Linked DNA regions of Pelodiscus sinensis. Each later gene encodes a partner of the first gene's protein in a complex. Links are inferred from orthologs where the notes say so. Each region holds a gene or a part of one and is shown on either strand. Other genes may lie near its edges. The genes, in order: POGLUT1 and NOTCH1.

Region 1 (8,183 bases):
CTTTTTTCCTAAGAACTCCCTCTTCCCCGTCCATACACGCCTTTTTCCGAAAGAGTTCTTTCAGAAAAAGGCTTCTTCCTTGTAAAAAGAGGTTTACCAATGTCGGAAAACCCCCTCTGTTCTTCCGATTTTTTTTCAAAAGAACATGACTGCAGTGTGGACATAAGTGACGTTTTTCCAAAAAAACTCTGCAGTGTAGATATATCTGAAGAGGGAAACAGGAGTCCAGGAGAGGCATAATGAAGTGGTGAACCTGGAGAAGAGTCTGGCTTTAAGTTAATATGCTTTGCTTTATGCTAATAAATCAGATCCCAGAGTAACTCAAAAGCACCCCTTGATGGGGGAAGAAGAGAAACTGAGGCAGCAGTAGAGTCTGACAGCACATGAAGTAACACCTTGTTGCAACATACAATCATCTCCAGTCTGTCAGCTCTTCAGGCTAACCAAAATTGAGTGGTTTGCACTTGGAGTTTCCTTGCAAGTTTCTTGTGCAGAAGAGTACTGCCAACTCAGTGGGTAGCAGCCTTTAAAGTAAGTATAAAAGAAATCCCCAAGTGTGGTACAACATGATAACATGCCACCTCCAACCACTTCATTGGGGGATGTAGGGTTGCCAGATGGTCTCCCAAAAAATACCAAACACATGGGCTAAAAATTTGTCAAGCAAAAAAAAAAAACCAAACCAAACCACCCACACTGAACACACATCCTGTGTGGCTACTACCAAGAACCACCAAGCTAGGAACAAAGGTGGAGGCAGCAGAACCTGCTCTGCAAAGCAGCTGCCTGCTACCCAGAGCAGAGAGGCGCAGACCCCGGGGCAACACAATGGCAGGGCAGGGGGCGGAAGCGACCATGGGTAGGAATCATAGAATAAATCATAGAATAATAGGACTGGAAGGGACCTCGAGAGGTCATCGAGTCCAGCCCCCCGCCCTCAAGGCAGGAAGATGACTCCCCCATAGCCAGGTCTTTGGGTGTCCCAATGGGAAGAAGCAGAAATTCCACCCCAGTCAGTTTTGGCTGAGAGTCCATGGAAGGCGCCTAAACGCAATTATAAAGCACCTCAGGGCTTCTCTCCCCGCACCACAATGCAATTGAACAGCGCTCAGGAGCAGGGACAGGGCTTCTCCTCCTCCCCAGATGCAATCTGCTGAGGGCTCCCAGCACCAATTGTGCCCCACCAGGCTTCTGCATGCAACCAGATCACGGCTCCGCCTCCCAGCCTGGGACTCCCTCTGGTTGTGTGCAGAATCCTGGTGGGGGCTGGGGGAGTGGCCAGGACTCCCAGCCACTCCCCCCACCCCCGCCAGGCTTTTGCACGCGACCACAGGCTCCAAGCGCCGATCGCAGCCCCGCCTCCCAGCCACTCCCCCCGCCCCTGCCAGGCTTCCGTCCGGCGCCCAGCCAGAAAAACAGAAAATACCAGACATTGCACAGTCCAGTATTTTCTGAATTTTTTTTTACCAGACAGAGGGCACAAAAACCGGACTGTCTGGTAGAAAACCGGAAACCTGGCAACCCTAGGGGGATGGGATGGGAGGAGGAGTATTCCTGACAATTCACAGCCTGTAAGATCCCATGGCAGTAGTTCTCAACTCAGAGCCTGTGAGCCCTTTCAGGGAGACCGCAGCACCCTGAGGTTGAAACCTGGTGCCTTGTGCTACAGTGTCCCACAGGTGCAGCACAAGGCAGAAACCAGCCTCCCACTCCCCCGTCCTCACGTTAGCCACTCCAGCGCTCCTGCCCCCATTTAAACTGGGAACTACATTGGAAGCCCTCACCTCTGCCTGCACCCTTAGCTACCTCTCTGCCAAACCTATTCCCCTGCCTTCACCCTTAACTATCCCCATACCAGTACACAGCTCCTAGCTAACCCCAGCCTGCACCCTGAGCAGTTTTCAAAATTTCTGAGCTGAATTTCTCTCTCCCCCCACCTTCTCCCCACACACACTTTGAGTTATAATTTTGGTTGTTTCCTTCCACAACTCAGTGGCACTTCTTCCCTGGCTCCCCTGTGCAGAGCTGGCCCAACCACCAGCAGCCCTTATCCCCTCTCCAAAAAATTAAAACTATTCCTATGAGCAAGGGTCTTGCCCCTCAGCCCAGAGCCCCAAAGCTCTAGAGTTTTTATTAGGCATGTGAAAGTATAAATGTGTCCATGGTTAATTGATGAACCTGGGCTCATTGATTAACCTTCACAATCATACACAATCCCCCCCCCCCCACCCTCATGCTGCAGAGGGGGTGGGTGGGCAGGCACAAAGTCAGCATGTGTGGTGAGCCAGCTTAAAAGCCAGCTCCCTCCCACCCCGGCATGTGAATGCGTAACAGATGACATTTTCAATAAATACATTTTAACATCCTCAGTTTTTATAGCATGTTCAGGGGAGCCTTAACAAGAAAAAGGTTGACAGCTTCTGTCCCATGATATATCCCCTATACTTATAGAGAGTTATGTCTGTGTGTGAGATAAATGGGAATTTGGGTGATTTAACATTCACCTACTTCTGTTCCACTCTAGCTTCATTTAGCTATAGTAACATTCATCTCCTGTCCTAAGTTCTCCTTTAACGTTACTGTGTGCTGTTGAACAACTGGCTTACTCCACTTCAGATAACTGCCCTTCAGCAGTGGACAAAGTGTTTTTTTTTAATAATCAGGTGCTGTGCGGAGGTTCTCTATATAAAATTTGTTTGTATTACAGAAAGACCCAGAGATAGAGTTACAGTGTGGAGAGCCCTGCAAATCCACAGCTATCCGCTTTATAGCCACAGGTATCCACATCCACAAATGTGGATATCCGTGGCTCATTTTTGCAGATGTAGATGCGGATACAAATTTTGTATCAGCACAGAGAGCTCTAATGATGTGTGCTACACAACCTTCAGTAAACAGTCCCTGTCCCAAAGAGCTTATAGCCTCCTTTTATATTGCATATTAAATAAGACTGAGACACAGCCCCCTCATTCCACCAGCAAAAGAACTGCTTCTAGAAACCCTGGTTTGCATTCTTTAGTGACAAGTTGGTTCAAAGACGAAAAAAACCAGGCAGATACGAGAGGTGCAGGAAAACACGGGATGCTAAGCCCAACAAACAAGGCTTTCTCTGGGGCACCCCTGTTCTAAAGGGTGTCTTTGAGGCAAGCTAAGTGCCCCACTAGGGCCGCCTCCCTCAGCCTGCCCCTGCTGTACGCCCCGCACGCATCCAACCCCACTTCCAGCTCCGGACAGGCAAGCCCGGGGGCTAATCTCTGCAGCCCCTAGCTAAGTACAAACAGGCTACAAGACGCAGGGAGTTTGCATCCGTTTCCCACGCTAGGGGTAGCGCGGGGCCGCTCCGCTGCAGAGAGCATCTGCGCAGGGCGGGCGGGTCACTCGGAGGAAGAGGGGCGAGCGGGCGCAGTGACCAGCAGGAGGCTGAGCCAAACAGAAGAGGCAGGGGCAGCCGCAAAGGCGGCGTTGCCTAGGGTGGCGCAGGCCCGGGAGCAGGGTCCCAGCCGGGCAGGAGGCAAGAGGCGCTGGGGAGGGCTCGGCCCGGCACACGTGGGGCTGAGCGAGGGAGAGGCGGCGCTGGAGGCTGCAGCGGGGGACGGGGCTCGGGGGGCGGGAGACACACCCCGCTCCCCAGTGCCGGGGGGAAGGAGAGTGGGGGAGCGCGCCCCGCCCCTCCCGGTCGCAGCCTCTCACCTGCAGCGCTGCTCCCCTGGCTGAGCACGAGCTGGGACAGAGCCGCCGCTCGCAGCGCCCAGGCCACCAGCGGCCCCATTGTGCAGCCCGGCGGACAGCTGCCGCTGCCCCCCCCCCCCGCACTGCGCCTGCGCGCGGCGAGCCGGCCCCTCTGCGTTCCATCAGGCCGATAGCTGATTCAGAAGAAAAAAAAAATGTAGAAGGGCGGGAGGAAGAAGCGCCCTGCACAAAGATGGCCGCCACCGCAGGGGAGAAAGGGACACGGTGCCCCGCACAAAGATGGTCGCCGCTATAGTCAATTCCACATCCGGGACCGACTCGCTTTACCTGATGGGAGTTGTAGTGCCCGAGTTGGCACATCACAGCTCAGTATATGGAGCACAGCCCCTCCCTGCCCAGGAGCAACTGTGGGGTGGCCCCAGCCCTGAGGCCCCTGGGCTGCTCACCAAGCCAGCTGGTCTGGCTGTCGACACTAGGAATGTGAACACCACCAGTGGGGTGAGTAGGAGGTGCGGTGAGCCATTGAGCCCAGCTCTAAACCCTGTGGGATAGAAATAACTTCAAGCCAGGGGGTGCAGCAGCCAGGGCTGAGTGGGTCTCTTGCTAGAAGCTGGGTCTCAGCACTCCCTGGCCAGAGCATTAGTGCTACCATTGCTGGAATAATGCTATCAGTAATTGGAAAAGGAAGTTGATAAATCAGAAAACGTTCAGAGACGAGCTACAAGAATGATGAAAGGATTTAAAACCTGCTTGATAGTGACTCTGAAAGCTCAATCAATGTAGCTTAAAAAAGAGATGGTTAAGGGGCAATACACCCGGACTAAATGGCATTCACCCAAGATTTCCAAAAGAACTCAAATGTGAAATTGTGGAACTATTAACTGTGGTTGGTAATCTGTCGTTTAATCAGCTTCTGTACCTAATGACTGGAAGATAGCTAATGTGATGCCAATATTTAAAAAGGGCTCTAAAGGTGATTCTGGTAATTACAGACCAGTAAGTCTAACATCAGTACCGGGCAAATTAGTTGAAGCTATGGTCAGGAATTAAATTGTCAGACTGATGTTGGGAGAAAGTCAACATGGTTTCTGTAAAGGAAAATCACGCCTTACAAATCTACAAGAGTGCTTTGAGGGGAGTCAACAAACCTTTGGACAAGGGGGAACCAGTGGATATAGTGGATTTAGATTTTAGAAAGCTTTTGACAAGGTCCCTCACCAAAGGCTCTTAAGTCACGGAAGTTGTCATGGGATCAGAGGGAAGGTACTCTCATGGACTGATTACTACTTAAAAGACAGGATACAAAGTTTTCAGAATGGAGAGAGGTAACTAGCGGTGTTCCCCAACGGTCCGTACTGGGACAAATCCTATTCAACCTATTTATAAATGATCTGGGGAAAGGGGTAAACAGTGAAGTGGCAAAATTTGCAAATGATACTAAACTGCTCAGGATAGTTAAGACCAAAGCAGACTGTGAACAGCTTCAAAAAGATCTCACCAAACTATGTGATTGGGCAACAAAATGGCACATGAAAGGTAACATTGATAAATGTAGAGGAATGCATGCTGGAAAAATAATCTCGACTATACATGCAAAAGGATGGGTACTAATTTAACTATAACCCCTCAAGAGCGAGATCTTGGAGTCATTATGGAGAGTCCTCTGAAAACATCCACTTAATGGGCAGCAGCAGCAGTTCAAAAAGCAAAAAGAATGTTAGAAATCATTTAAAAAGGATAGAGAATAAGACTCTTATCTTATTGTGCCTATATAAAACGATGGTACACCCGCATCTTGAATACTGTATACAGATATGGTGGCCTCATCTCAAAAAAGGCATATTTGCAGTGGAAAAGTTTCAGAAACAGGCAACAAAAATGATGAGGGGTTTGGAATAGGTTCCATATGAAGAGAGATTAAAAAGCCTGGGACTTTTTAGCTTAGAGAAACAGGAGACGAAGGGAGGATATGATAGAGGTCTGTAAAATCATGACTTGCGTGGAAAAAAGTGAATAAGGAAAAGTTATTTACTTGTTCCCAGAACGCAAGAACTAGAGGTCCCCAAATGAAATTAATAGGTAGCAGGTTTAAAACAAACAAAAAGAAGTTTTTCTTCATGCAGCACACAGACAACTTGTGGAACTCCTTGCCAGGGGATTTTGTGAAGACCAGGACTTGAACAGGGTTAAAAAAAGAACTAGATAAATTCATGGAGGTTAGGTCCATCAATGGCCAGGATAGGTAGGAATGGTGTCCCTAGCCTCTGTTTGTCAGTAAGTGCCTGGAAATGGATGACAGGAAAGAGATCATTTGAAGATTTCCTGTTCTGTCCACTCCCTGTGAGGCATCTGGCATTGGCCACTCTCGGAAGACAGGATACTGGGCTAGATGGACCTTTGGTCTGATCCTGGATGGCTGTTCCTATGTTTTTATGACTCATTCAGTCTATAGGGCATGATACACAGCAGGGCTAAATCTGAAATAAGCTACGCAACTTCAGCAATGTCTATTGTGTAGCCTAAGCCAAAATAGCTTATTTTGGCTATTGATGCTATCTACACAGCAAGAAGTCTGAGGCAGAGCACTCTTCCTCTGACTTCTTTTATGCCTCATAAAATAAGGGTTACAGGAGTCAGCATAAGTAGTCCTCCAGTTCGCCATTATTTCAACATTATTATAGTTTAGATGCGGACTATGTTATTTTGGAATAACATCAGTTATTCTGAAATAACACTATTGTGTAGATGTACCCTAAGTACCCATATGAGGAGCACAAACTTGATAATGGATATGACTTAGGGTACCTCTAGACTGGGGTGTTTTTCCAGGATACCAGAACAAATAGGATAATCATATTCAGCAAATCATAACCTTTTCAATGATACCTCACATGGCCTATACTGAATAAAATACATCATAATTATGCCATAAGCATATCATAATAATATCTCGGTGTTCTCTAGCTTGTGTTATGTAGGAGGTCAGACTAGATGATCACATTGGTCCTTTCTGGTCTTAGGTCTTGACTTCATGTACAGTGCGGCAGTGGAACAGCTAGGCCACTGTATCACTTTACTGAAGATGCTACTATGCCGACAGGAAAGCTTGGAAGGAGGTGAGCTGTCCTGGGGGTCTTGTCTGAAAATTATAGGTACAGACAACAAGCTTTTTCTTTATTTTCCTTTTGCTTTGTAATTCCCCCCTCCCCCCCCCCAAAAAAAACCCGGGCATCTCTGACACTGATCTCATCTGATTTCTAAGAAACTACAGAGAAGCTGAGAGAGAAGGCAGAATCAGTAATGCCCTGAACAAGCACTTAATATGTCATCCTGGAAAAGCTTAGAGAGAGAGAGCTTTGGGGCCAGTTGCTGGCTAAAAGAAATATAGGACTGCGAGGCTCTCCTGATGTTTGGCTCATCTTGTGTTCAGGGAAACAGAACATTGTACATTCTCTATAAACAAACAAGATTGCATTAAAGATACCTGGACCCATTGCAGATTTCTCTTCCAAATGGGAACACCTGTAGGGCCCAAATTGTGACTAGCTTCTTAGGTCAAAAGTGGTAACACTACCTATAGTGAGAAATTGGAAAATCCAAGGCATTTCTCATATGCTGGTCCCAAACTCTTCTTACCCCATATTAGCCTCCCCCCCCAAAAAAGAGGAAAATATCAGCTCCTTTCAGTGGTGGTTGTCAGAAGCAGCCTTATTGCTTTCTGCATAAACAGAATCTATTGTTCTGTTCCTGTTCTAAGGGTACAATGCTGCATCTGTGCAAGTGATATGAATAGTTCTAAAATTAAGAACATAAGAATGATCATACTAGGTCTGACCAAAGCTCCACCTAGCCCAGTGTCCTGTCTACCAACAGTAGCCGATGCCAGTTGCTTCAAAGGGAATGAACTGATTAAGGCAACGGTCAAGTGATCCATCCCCTGTCATCCAGTCTCAGCATCCAGAACAGAAGCTAGCATCTCTGACCATCTTGGCTAATAGTCCTATTCTATCCTTATGAACCTATCTCATTCTTTTTAAAATCCTGTTATAGTTCTGGCTTTCACAACATACCCTGGCAATGAGCTCCACAGGTTGACTGTGCATTTTGTGAAGTATTTCTCTATATTTGTTTTATACCTGCTGCCTATAAATTGTGTTGGCTACTCTTGTAAATCTTACAAAAGCTTGAGTAAGTAACCATAACATGAATGCCTTACATCTTTGTAACTTGTGAAGTTGCCTTAGACCTCCTGTGTCACTCTGGGCCTTTCTACATACCTGATCCGCTATTACTATTACTGTAATAGTGTTGTTCTCTGCTTGTCTCCCATTTCAAGTTTCAGAACATATTTCCCCATTGGGGTCTCTGATACCCTACTCATTGTCCTGGGTCAATGTCAATTTTCTCTTTGTGGTTACCTCTTGTAGTTTGCATGCCAACCTGCTGCACAGCCAGTCGGATTGTAGTACTGTACAGCTGAAGATTATTATTTG
Region 2 (8,597 bases), on another chromosome or scaffold:
GTGACATGGGCTATTCTAAAAAACCCCAACCATTACTCATGGGAGTGGAGCAATCCATTCAACATTTTAGGAGTCAGGATTTCAGGATCTGGTCCTTGGAGCCAAATTCTGCTCGCAGTTTCCCTGGAAGTATCCCTGATACTGGGGCCTGTAGATTGTCGACTTTTCAACGCAGAGACCATTGGGCACAACTGACTTTCACAGTAGAGTAAAACCAAAGTAACTTCAGAGTTGTTGCAGATAGGACTCAACCAATAAAAAAACAGAGCGGGCGGGGAAGGGGGCATAACCGTGGAATGGAACATTAGTGGAATGAAACACCATGACATAAGGTGTTTCCAATATGTAAATAGTGGTGTACAATGGAATGCCACCAAACATAAGGCTCCGTGCTAGCAATTCTGTAGAGCAGCTCGCAGGGAGCCATGTAAAGCCACAGAGTTTTAAAGCAGGGGAGAGGAACCTAAGGCCCAGCAGTCAGACCCCACCCCCAGCTTGCTTGGATCCAGCCCCCAAGGCTCGGGGCTCCCCGCCCCCCAGAACTGGGTACTTCGCACCAGCATCGCCCAGACCCTGCACCCTAGCCTGCTACTGCACCCTCCCAGAGAATCCCTCACCCTCAGTCTGCTCCTGCACCCCCCTCCTGCCCAAACCCCCATCTCCACTTTGCTCCTGCACCCGACCTCCCGCCCAGACACCCCCATCTAGCTCAGACCCCTCACCGTAGCCCACTTCCCACACCCTGAACCTCTCATTTCTGGCCCCACCCTAGAGCCTGGGGGGGGCTCACAAAATCTACTAGCCCAGCCCCCCCACGGCTTTGGTGTGCAGCCCCTGATTTTTTTTGTGGGCCAGCCGCCCTCGGCCCAAAAAAGATTCCCCACTCCTGCTTTTCTTCAAAGCAGCCCCGGAGCAGCCAAGTTATCTGCAGACAAGTTCAGATTACAGAGGCGGCTCCCAACCTTGTTCCCAGCCAGCTCGCAGAGTTTCTATCCTTTCCCACTCCCCCCCATCCCTCACCACATACTGCTCCTGTCCTGACTACAGAAAACCCTCCTGAAACTCCTGCTGAATTGTCTGGCTGTTCAGATATTCATGATTTAAAAAAAAAAAAAAAAAAGGAAGAAAAAAAAGGACAAAAAGCGGCTACAGACTGTCCTACTGAGGGAGAACAGAGCCATGGGCGCGCACTCCCCTCCTTGCGCGTGGGAAAAAGCGACAGCTGCAGAGCACAGCCTTCCTTGCCTGCTAACAAAGGGGGAAATCAGAGCGACCCATTGTAAAACGCTTGTTGCATTATTTACTGTAGGGCAGCTCTCAATCCTGTACGGCCCTGGATACTCAATACCTGCTGCCTGAAAGATCTGATTGAGTCAACCAGCCGCCCCCCGGCCCTGTTTTACTTTGGGGAGGAGGGAAGGAAGCCAGTTTTGGGTCGCGTATGCAAAGTGAAGTGAAACCAGACAGCCCCAAATGTACCTACCCAGGGCTCTTCCAGGAAGGCTGGGTGACACCCTTGCTATGACTAAGCCTTTTGACTTTATAGTGTAACGCTGATGAACACAGCGGAAGGCAACTCCAGGCAGAGAGCAATAGGGGTCCCCATACTTAGTCCTGCACTCCCTGGCCTGCACGCTCCAGAATAAAAACCTCTGTCTCGCTTCTGTTTAAAAATCATTGGGGACAGATCCAACCGGGCACCCTTTTTTTTTTTTTTAAAGCACATGCTAGAGCAGCCTGCAGGAATGGCACACGGCTATACAGGCTGGACTCATTTCTTACCTCCCCCCGCTTCCTCCCCGCAGGCTGCTTTCCCCTAGTAACCTCCCTTGATTGTATCAGTGGCCCTGGTTTCAGTGGGAATCAGGGTGGCAGACGCCAACCCACTCATCCAAGTTAGCAGCCAAACACAGGAGCTGCACTTTTTCCGCCTTACAAAGCTAGTGAGAGGACTCACATTGTTTTGGTTGGTCTCTAAAATGCCACAGGCCTAGTCCTTGTTTCTAAAGTTACAGACTTCACATGGCTCCCCCGCGCTGAGACTTTTTACCCACGTGATTAAATGCTACCCCCATATTTATACTCTTAGGCAGTGTTTTTGGTTGCTTATTTTTTCAGTGCTGTGAGGATTAAGGCAGGGAAGTGGTGCATTTTCAAGCAGACTCATCATCACCTTATCTCCCCATGTTAAGGGGATTATTTTTAAAAAATATCTTCCTACTCTTTCCTCTCACCTAGGTGAAACTCGCGCATCTTTCACTTTGGGGCCTTTTTGACGAAAAGAAGAATTGCTACACAAGTTTCCATTTGATTGTTTCCCCAAAGGTTACTGCCGTGTACAAGAAACAAAACGGCTTCTGACATCCGCCCCCAAACTTGCAAGGAAGGGCTGAGAGAACAAGAAATCTGACGTAGATTCAAGAAACAGGAAATAAAAAATTAACAAGGCTCTCAAAAAATAAAAAAAAAAGCAGCCCATCTCCGGCTTGCTCATTACATACCCCAGCCTTTAACAGAACACATCTTATCTGAAGAAGTGGGTTTTGCCCACGAAGGCTAGTGACTCTAGACATACATGTTTGCTAGTCTCTAGGGTGCCACAGGGCTACTTGTTGCTTTTTTAAAAGTTGTTTTCAAAGTTACAGACTAACACGGCCACCCCTTGGAGACTTTTACACAAGGAAAAGAGTCACTTTCTGAACTTTGCAACATGAAATATTCCACTGCCCAGAAAAAGAAATTCATACCAAAAAGCCCCTTCACTATTCACAGTATCCTGAGATCAGTTCTCCAAAGTAACCCCCTCCACACACACACACACACACACACACACACACACACACACACACACACACACGGTTTGTGTCACACACACACACACACACACACACACACACACACACACGGTTTGTGTCACACACACACACACACACACACACACACACACACACACACGGTTTGTGTCACACACACACACACACACACACACACACAGTTTGTGTCACAAAAACTGTCACGCTATCCAGCCCTGTGGTGGCAACTTTTAAAGGTTTGCTTCTCTCGGGAGATCTCTAGAGAATAAAGTTTTAAGAGAACTTTCTCTCTCTCTCTCTCTCTCACACACACACTTCACCGCTCCCCAGGATTGTTTCTAAGCGGAGGGAGTTACACACACTTGATTCCCCGCCCTGCCAGCCGCACACCTCTCAGGTGGGTTGTGATCTTTTAAAATCCAAGGGCTCGGGGAGGAAACGGATTCCCTCTCCGAGGGCAGCTGGTGGCAGAGAGCAATGCACCACATACAACGAGTGCCCCACGGAACGCAACTCTCCCCCCACATAAGAAGGCAACTCCCCCCCCCCCCCGTCAGCCTGAGCTGAGCCGAGCCGCAGCCCTTTGCAAAGGGGTTCACCTGCGCTTCAGGCTGAGCCCCGGCTTCTCAGGGAAGCCCCCGCCAGGAGGGAGCTCTGCCCGGTTCGGAAGCCCCCTGTCCCCGCGCCTGGCTGCACCGGAGCCGGGCAGGGGAAGACGGGACACAGAAAGGGGGGAGGAAAGTTTCTCCTTCGCCAGCGAGGGACTCCCCGGCTCCATCTCCAGGGGCGCCCCTCACTTCTGCCCCAGCCCACGCGGGCCCCCGGCCGGCCCCTACCTCGGCTGAGCGCGGGCAGCAGGGACAGCAGCAGGCTCTGCACCAGAAGCAGCTGCATTCCTCCTCTCCGGGCTCCACGCGGGCGGCTCTCGCGGCGCGGCTCCTGGCCCCCCTCTCACAGCCGCATCGACCCCCCCAGCCGGCCGGCGGGCGTGCAGGGCCCCGCCCCCCCAAAAGGCTCAGGCGGCCCCCGAGATCCGCTCCGCGGGAGGACGGCGCGGGGCGCAGAGACGCGGAGAGCGCGGCGCGCCGTGCGAGCTCGGGCTGCGAGTCCCCGAGCGAGGAGGAGGCGGCGGCTCCGAGCCGCGTTCTCCTCCCATTCCCCCCCCCCCCCGCCCCCCGCCCCTGGTCCTTCCGCCCAGGTGCCCCGAGCTCAGCCAGCCGCCCGGCCGGGGGGGGGGGAGCGGCCCCCGGGCTGCGAGGGGGCGGGACAGTGGTTGGGCAGCTGGTCCTCAAGCCCCTGCGCTCGGGGGGGGCTGCGCCGCGTCGGGACCTTTCCCAGGCTGCTGGAAGTTGGGTGTTTGTGTGTGTGAGTCTGGGTGTGAGAGAGAGTGTGTGTGTGTGTGTCTGCGTGTGAGAGAGAGAGTGTGTGTCTGTCTGCGTGTGTGTGTGTGAGAGTGTGTGTGTGTTTGGGTGTGAGAGAGAGAGTGTGTGTGTCTGCGTGTGTGTGTGTGAGAGAGAGTGTGTGTCTGTCTGCGTGTGTGTGTGTGAGAGAGAGTGTGTGTCTGTCTGCGTGTGTGTGTGAGAGAGTGTGTGTGTGTGTCTGGGTGTGTGTCTGGGTGTGAGAGAGAGTGTGTGTGTGTGTGTCTGCGTGTGAGAGAGAGAGTGTGTGTCTGTCTGCGTGTGTGTGTGTGAGTGTGTGTGTGTTTGGGTGTGAGAGAGAGAGTGTGTGTGTCTGCGTGTGTGTGTGTGAGAGAGAGTGTGTGTCTGTCTGCGTGTGTGTGTGTGAGAGAGAGTGTGTGTCTGTCTGCGTGTGTGTGTGAGAGAGTGTGTGTGTGTGTCTGGGTGTGTGAGAGAGTGTGTGAGTCTGGGTGTGAGAGAGTGTGTGTGTGTGTCTGTCTGCGTGTGTGTCTGGGTGTGAGAGAGTGTGTGTGTCTGGGTGTGAGAGAGAGTGTGTGTCTGTCTGCGTGTGTGTGTGAGAGAGAGTGTGTGTGCGTGTCTGGGTGTGAGAGAGAGAGAGTGTGTGTGTCTGCGTGTGTGTGTGTGAGAGAGAGTGTGTGTGTCTGCGTGTGACAGAGAGAGTGTGTGTGTGTGTCTGGGTGTGTGAGAGAGTGTGTGTGTGCGTGTGAGAGAGAGAGTGTGTGTGTGAGTCTGGGTGTGAGAGAGTGTGTGTGTGTGTGTGTCTGTCTGCGTGTGTGTGTCTGGGTGTGTGAGAGAGTGTGTGTGTGTGTGTGCGTGTGAGAGAGAGAGTGTGTGTGTGAGTCTGGGTGTGAGAGTGTGTGTGTGTGTGTGTCTGTCTGCGTGTGTGTGTCTGGGTGTGTGAGAGAGAGTGTGTGTGTGTGCGTGTGAGAGAGAGTGTGTGTGTGAGTCTGGGTGTGAGAGAGTGTGTGTGTGTGTCTGTCTGCGTGTGTGTGTCTGGGTGTGTGAGAGAGAGTGTGTGTGTGTCTGTCTGCGTGTGTTTGTGTGAGAGAGTGTGCGCGCACATGTGTGTACACGCGTCTGTGTGAATGTGTGTCTGCGTGTGTGAGAGTGTGTATGTGTCTGTGAGAGTGTGTGCGCACGTGTGTGTACATGCGTGTCTGTGAGAGTGAGTGTGTGTGTGTGTGTGTGAGTGTTTGTGCATGATGTGTCTGTGAGAGTGAGTGTATCTGTGTGTGTATGTGTGTTTGTGCGTGTGTGAGTGTTTGTGCATGATGTGTCTGTGTGAGAGCGCGTGTGTATGTGCCTGTGTGTGAGAATGTGTGAGTGTATGTGTCTAAGTGTTCATGTGTGTGCGCACGTGTGTACACGTGTGTCTGTGAGTGAGTCTGCATGTCTGCGTGTGTCTGAGTGAGTGTGTGTGTGTGTGTGTGTGCACGTGTGTCTGTGTATGTGTGGGGCAGGAGCTGGGTGCTGCTAGAGGCTGGGTGTGTCTGTGTATGTGTGTGTATCAGTTACTTGGAGTGGGAAGAAAGTAGAGCCCCCCACAAGGTCTGTGGGACTAGTCCCTGAGGGCCAGACAGGGTGACGGATCTGGGACAGTATTCAAATACAGGCACAAGGATGCACTCAAAAAATGTGCACTCAACCCCTGCACCTCCCAGAGCCTGCTTGGTGCATGCTGCCTATCAGGGCAGGTAACTCGGTGGGGGCTGTTATGAGAGCCAGGAGGTTTGCCTGCCTTGCTGACGGGCTAGTCCAGTGTTTCTTAAACTATGTTCCGTGGAACACTGGTGTCCGTGAACAACTCGTCAACTCTTCTTTGTTTTTGTTACTTATTTGTTTTTGTCTTTTTTTGTCTGACAACAAATTGGTGTTCATAGGTGTTCTGCATAAAAAGTATTATTGTTTGGTTTTCCGTGGTCTCAAAAAGTTTAAGAAACACTGGGCTAGTCAGTCGGGGGGGGGGGGGGGGGGGGGGGGAGAGGTCTGTTAAGTTGTCCAGGGGCTGCGTTTTCACAGGCTCCGTGGATGCAACCTGCATTTTTGCAGGTGCAGTGCGAGCAGCTCCAAGTTTGGCAAATGCAACAGGTGAATAAACAGATCTGTGAAGCCACCTTTTGTGTCAACCTTGGAAAAACTGCCCCTCTAAGTCTCCCAATCTCAGCCACCTTTGAGGCTCCCCGATCTTGTCTGAGTGGTCGACTTTTGCTCCTGGAATGCTCTAGGTGACAAACAGTGAAGTGAAGGACCAAAACAATCCGAACAAAGATGTATTCACCCCCAGGCGCCTGCCTATTGGGAATGCGTGGACCAGAGGGAAGAAACCGAGTGAGGCCTGCCTGTTTATTTCCTTTGTGCTGTAAACTTCTGAACTTTCAACCCAAACTCTGGCCAACAATAAATAAAAAAGCAGCTAATTAAATAAAAGACGGCCTGGAAGCCAACTCCAGAGGCCAGAGGGGAAAAAAACCCAGGTTGAGTAAATTTTCAGCCAGTGCAACATTAAATTCTGGCTGCTGCCATGTGCCAGTGCTACCTCTGTATTTTATTCTGAGGACCCTGTTCCTCTAGCTCTCCCTTACACTAACAAACCCATCTCAGGCCCTGGTCATCCAAGGGAGAGATGTCTCTGGAGTCAATAGGATTTCTGTCTGGGGCAGGATGGGTTCTTAAATGTGATCACCTGTAGGATTTAACGATGATACTAAGAGTTGAATTCAGTCACATGTCCTGCCCCACCTTAGCACCTCTCAGCAATTATTATGCAGTCCCAGCCATCTGTCTAGGTGCCTAAATTCGAGGCCCTTGTGTTTGAAAATGTGGGCCAAAGTCTGTCTCTATAGTGAACTTTTCCCTTCACCTGTCCCACTATTACACCATGGCTGTGTCTACACTGGCATGAATTTCCGGAAATGCTTAAAACAGAATAGTTTTCGTTATAAGTATTTCCGGAAAAAGAGCGTCTACATTGGCAGGCTGCTTTTCCAGAAAAGCCCTTTTTCCGGAAAAGCATCTGTGGCCAATGTAGACGCGCTTTTCCGGAAAAGAGCCCCGATTGCCATTTTCGCGATCGGGGCTTTTTTCCGGAAAAGACTACTGGGCTGTCTACACTGGCCCTTTTCCGGAACAGTGTTCCGGAATAAGGACTTATGCCCGAGCGGGAGCAGCGTAGCTTTTCCGGAATAGCAGCTGATTTTGTACAGTAGAGCGTCGTTGCTTTTCCGGAAATTCAAGGGCCAGTGTAGAGAGCTCGCAGCTTATTCTGGAAAAGCGGCTGATTTTCCGGAATAAGTGGCCCAGTGTAGACACAGCCCACCAGTGAAGTAGTACTAACAGTGCCGGCAAGGGTGGGAATGCGCATGTTCCCTCTCCCCTTCTACTGTGTTGCTCAGTCCTGCTTGGATGGTGGCAAAAATACCAGTGCCTTGTCTACATTAGTGCTTCCTCTTTTGCTCCCACATCACTGGCTAGTGCAACCGTGGGAAATGTGGAAGAAAAACTCGCTGTGTGCAAGGCCCAAGGGATTCGCCCAAGGTCATGCAGCAAGTCAGTGGCAAAGTCAGGAAAGATGCATAGGCTCTCATCTCTGGGCTCAACCCACTAGTGTACAGCTCTGTCTGTTTGCAACCTGGCACTAATCTTTCAATGAGATCCACCACCGCAAACAATGATATATGAAGATAGCTTGTGAAAGCATCCTGGGGCAGGGTTGGGCCTGCAGGGTCGGATAGCAAAGCATTTCCGCCATGCGATGGGCTGACGATCATTTCAGGGGAGTCCAAGTGAAAACAGGACCGATGCATTGTCCTGAGCCAGCTGTAGCTCTTTTGTCCCTCCTTTGTCTCCAAATCATGGAGTCCTAGAACTGGAAGGAACCTGGGGAGGTCAAATGCAGTCTCCTGCCCTCATGGCAGGACTCAGAATCAAGACCATCCCTGACCGATGTTTGTCTGCTCTTAAAAATCACCACAGATGGAGATGCCACAACCTCCAGAGGCAATTTATTCCAGTGCTTCACCAGCCTGACAGGTGGGAAGTTTTTCCTAATGTCCAATCTAAACCTCCCTTGCTGAAATTTAAGCCCATCGCTTCTTGTCCTGTCCTCAGAGGCCAAAGAGAACCCTTTTTCTCCCTCCTCAAAACATGGTTCTGTTGAACCTCCACTTGGTAATAACGTCAGAGCTGGAGAACATGCTTGCCCAAGTTAGTTTGCATTTGGTTAAAGGGGAGGGAAGGGGAAAGAGAGACTGACTCCGGAATGGGTTAATGAATAGAAGTAACACCTCTTCCTCCTCCCTTGTCCACTCCAGCTCCAAAGGCCCCTCCTGTCCTTCTCGGAGCTGTTACCCCCTATTTCCTGCTGTAA

Evidence for each region.
Region 2: the proteins of POGLUT1 (region 1) and NOTCH1 are in contact, whole or in part, in a crystal structure (PDB 5UB5), measured with the Homo sapiens proteins. The link is inferred for Pelodiscus sinensis from reciprocal best matches to the Homo sapiens genes POGLUT1 and NOTCH1. Residues at the interface, in NP_689518.1 of Homo sapiens: Met103, Phe104, Pro105, Ser106, Arg107, Asp133, Gly170, Pro171, Ala172, Val173, Trp174, Pro178, Thr179, Gly180, Thr214, Asn239, Gln240, Ala241, Val274; in NP_060087.3 of Homo sapiens: Asn454, Glu455, Cys456, Val457, Asn459, Pro460, Cys461, Gln462, Asn463, Asp464, Ala465, Cys467, Gly472, Glu473, Phe474, Val485, His486.

What each region holds. Positions count from the first base shown.
Region 1 is NC_134711.1:163,010,656-163,018,838, forward strand, and holds the start of POGLUT1 (protein O-glucosyltransferase 1), read right to left. Parts: upstream 3,875-8,183; 5' UTR 3,770-3,874; coding exon 3,691-3,769; intron 1-3,690. UniProt on the Homo sapiens protein: Dual specificity glycosyltransferase that catalyzes the transfer of glucose and xylose from UDP-glucose and UDP-xylose, respectively, to a serine residue found in the consensus sequence of C-X-S-X-P-C.
Region 2 is NC_134732.1:20,255,339-20,263,935, reverse strand, and holds the start of NOTCH1 (neurogenic locus notch homolog protein 1), read right to left. Parts: upstream 3,933-8,597; 5' UTR 3,708-3,932; coding exon 3,650-3,707; intron 1-3,649. UniProt on the Homo sapiens protein: Functions as a receptor for membrane-bound ligands Jagged-1 (JAG1), Jagged-2 (JAG2) and Delta-1 (DLL1) to regulate cell-fate determination.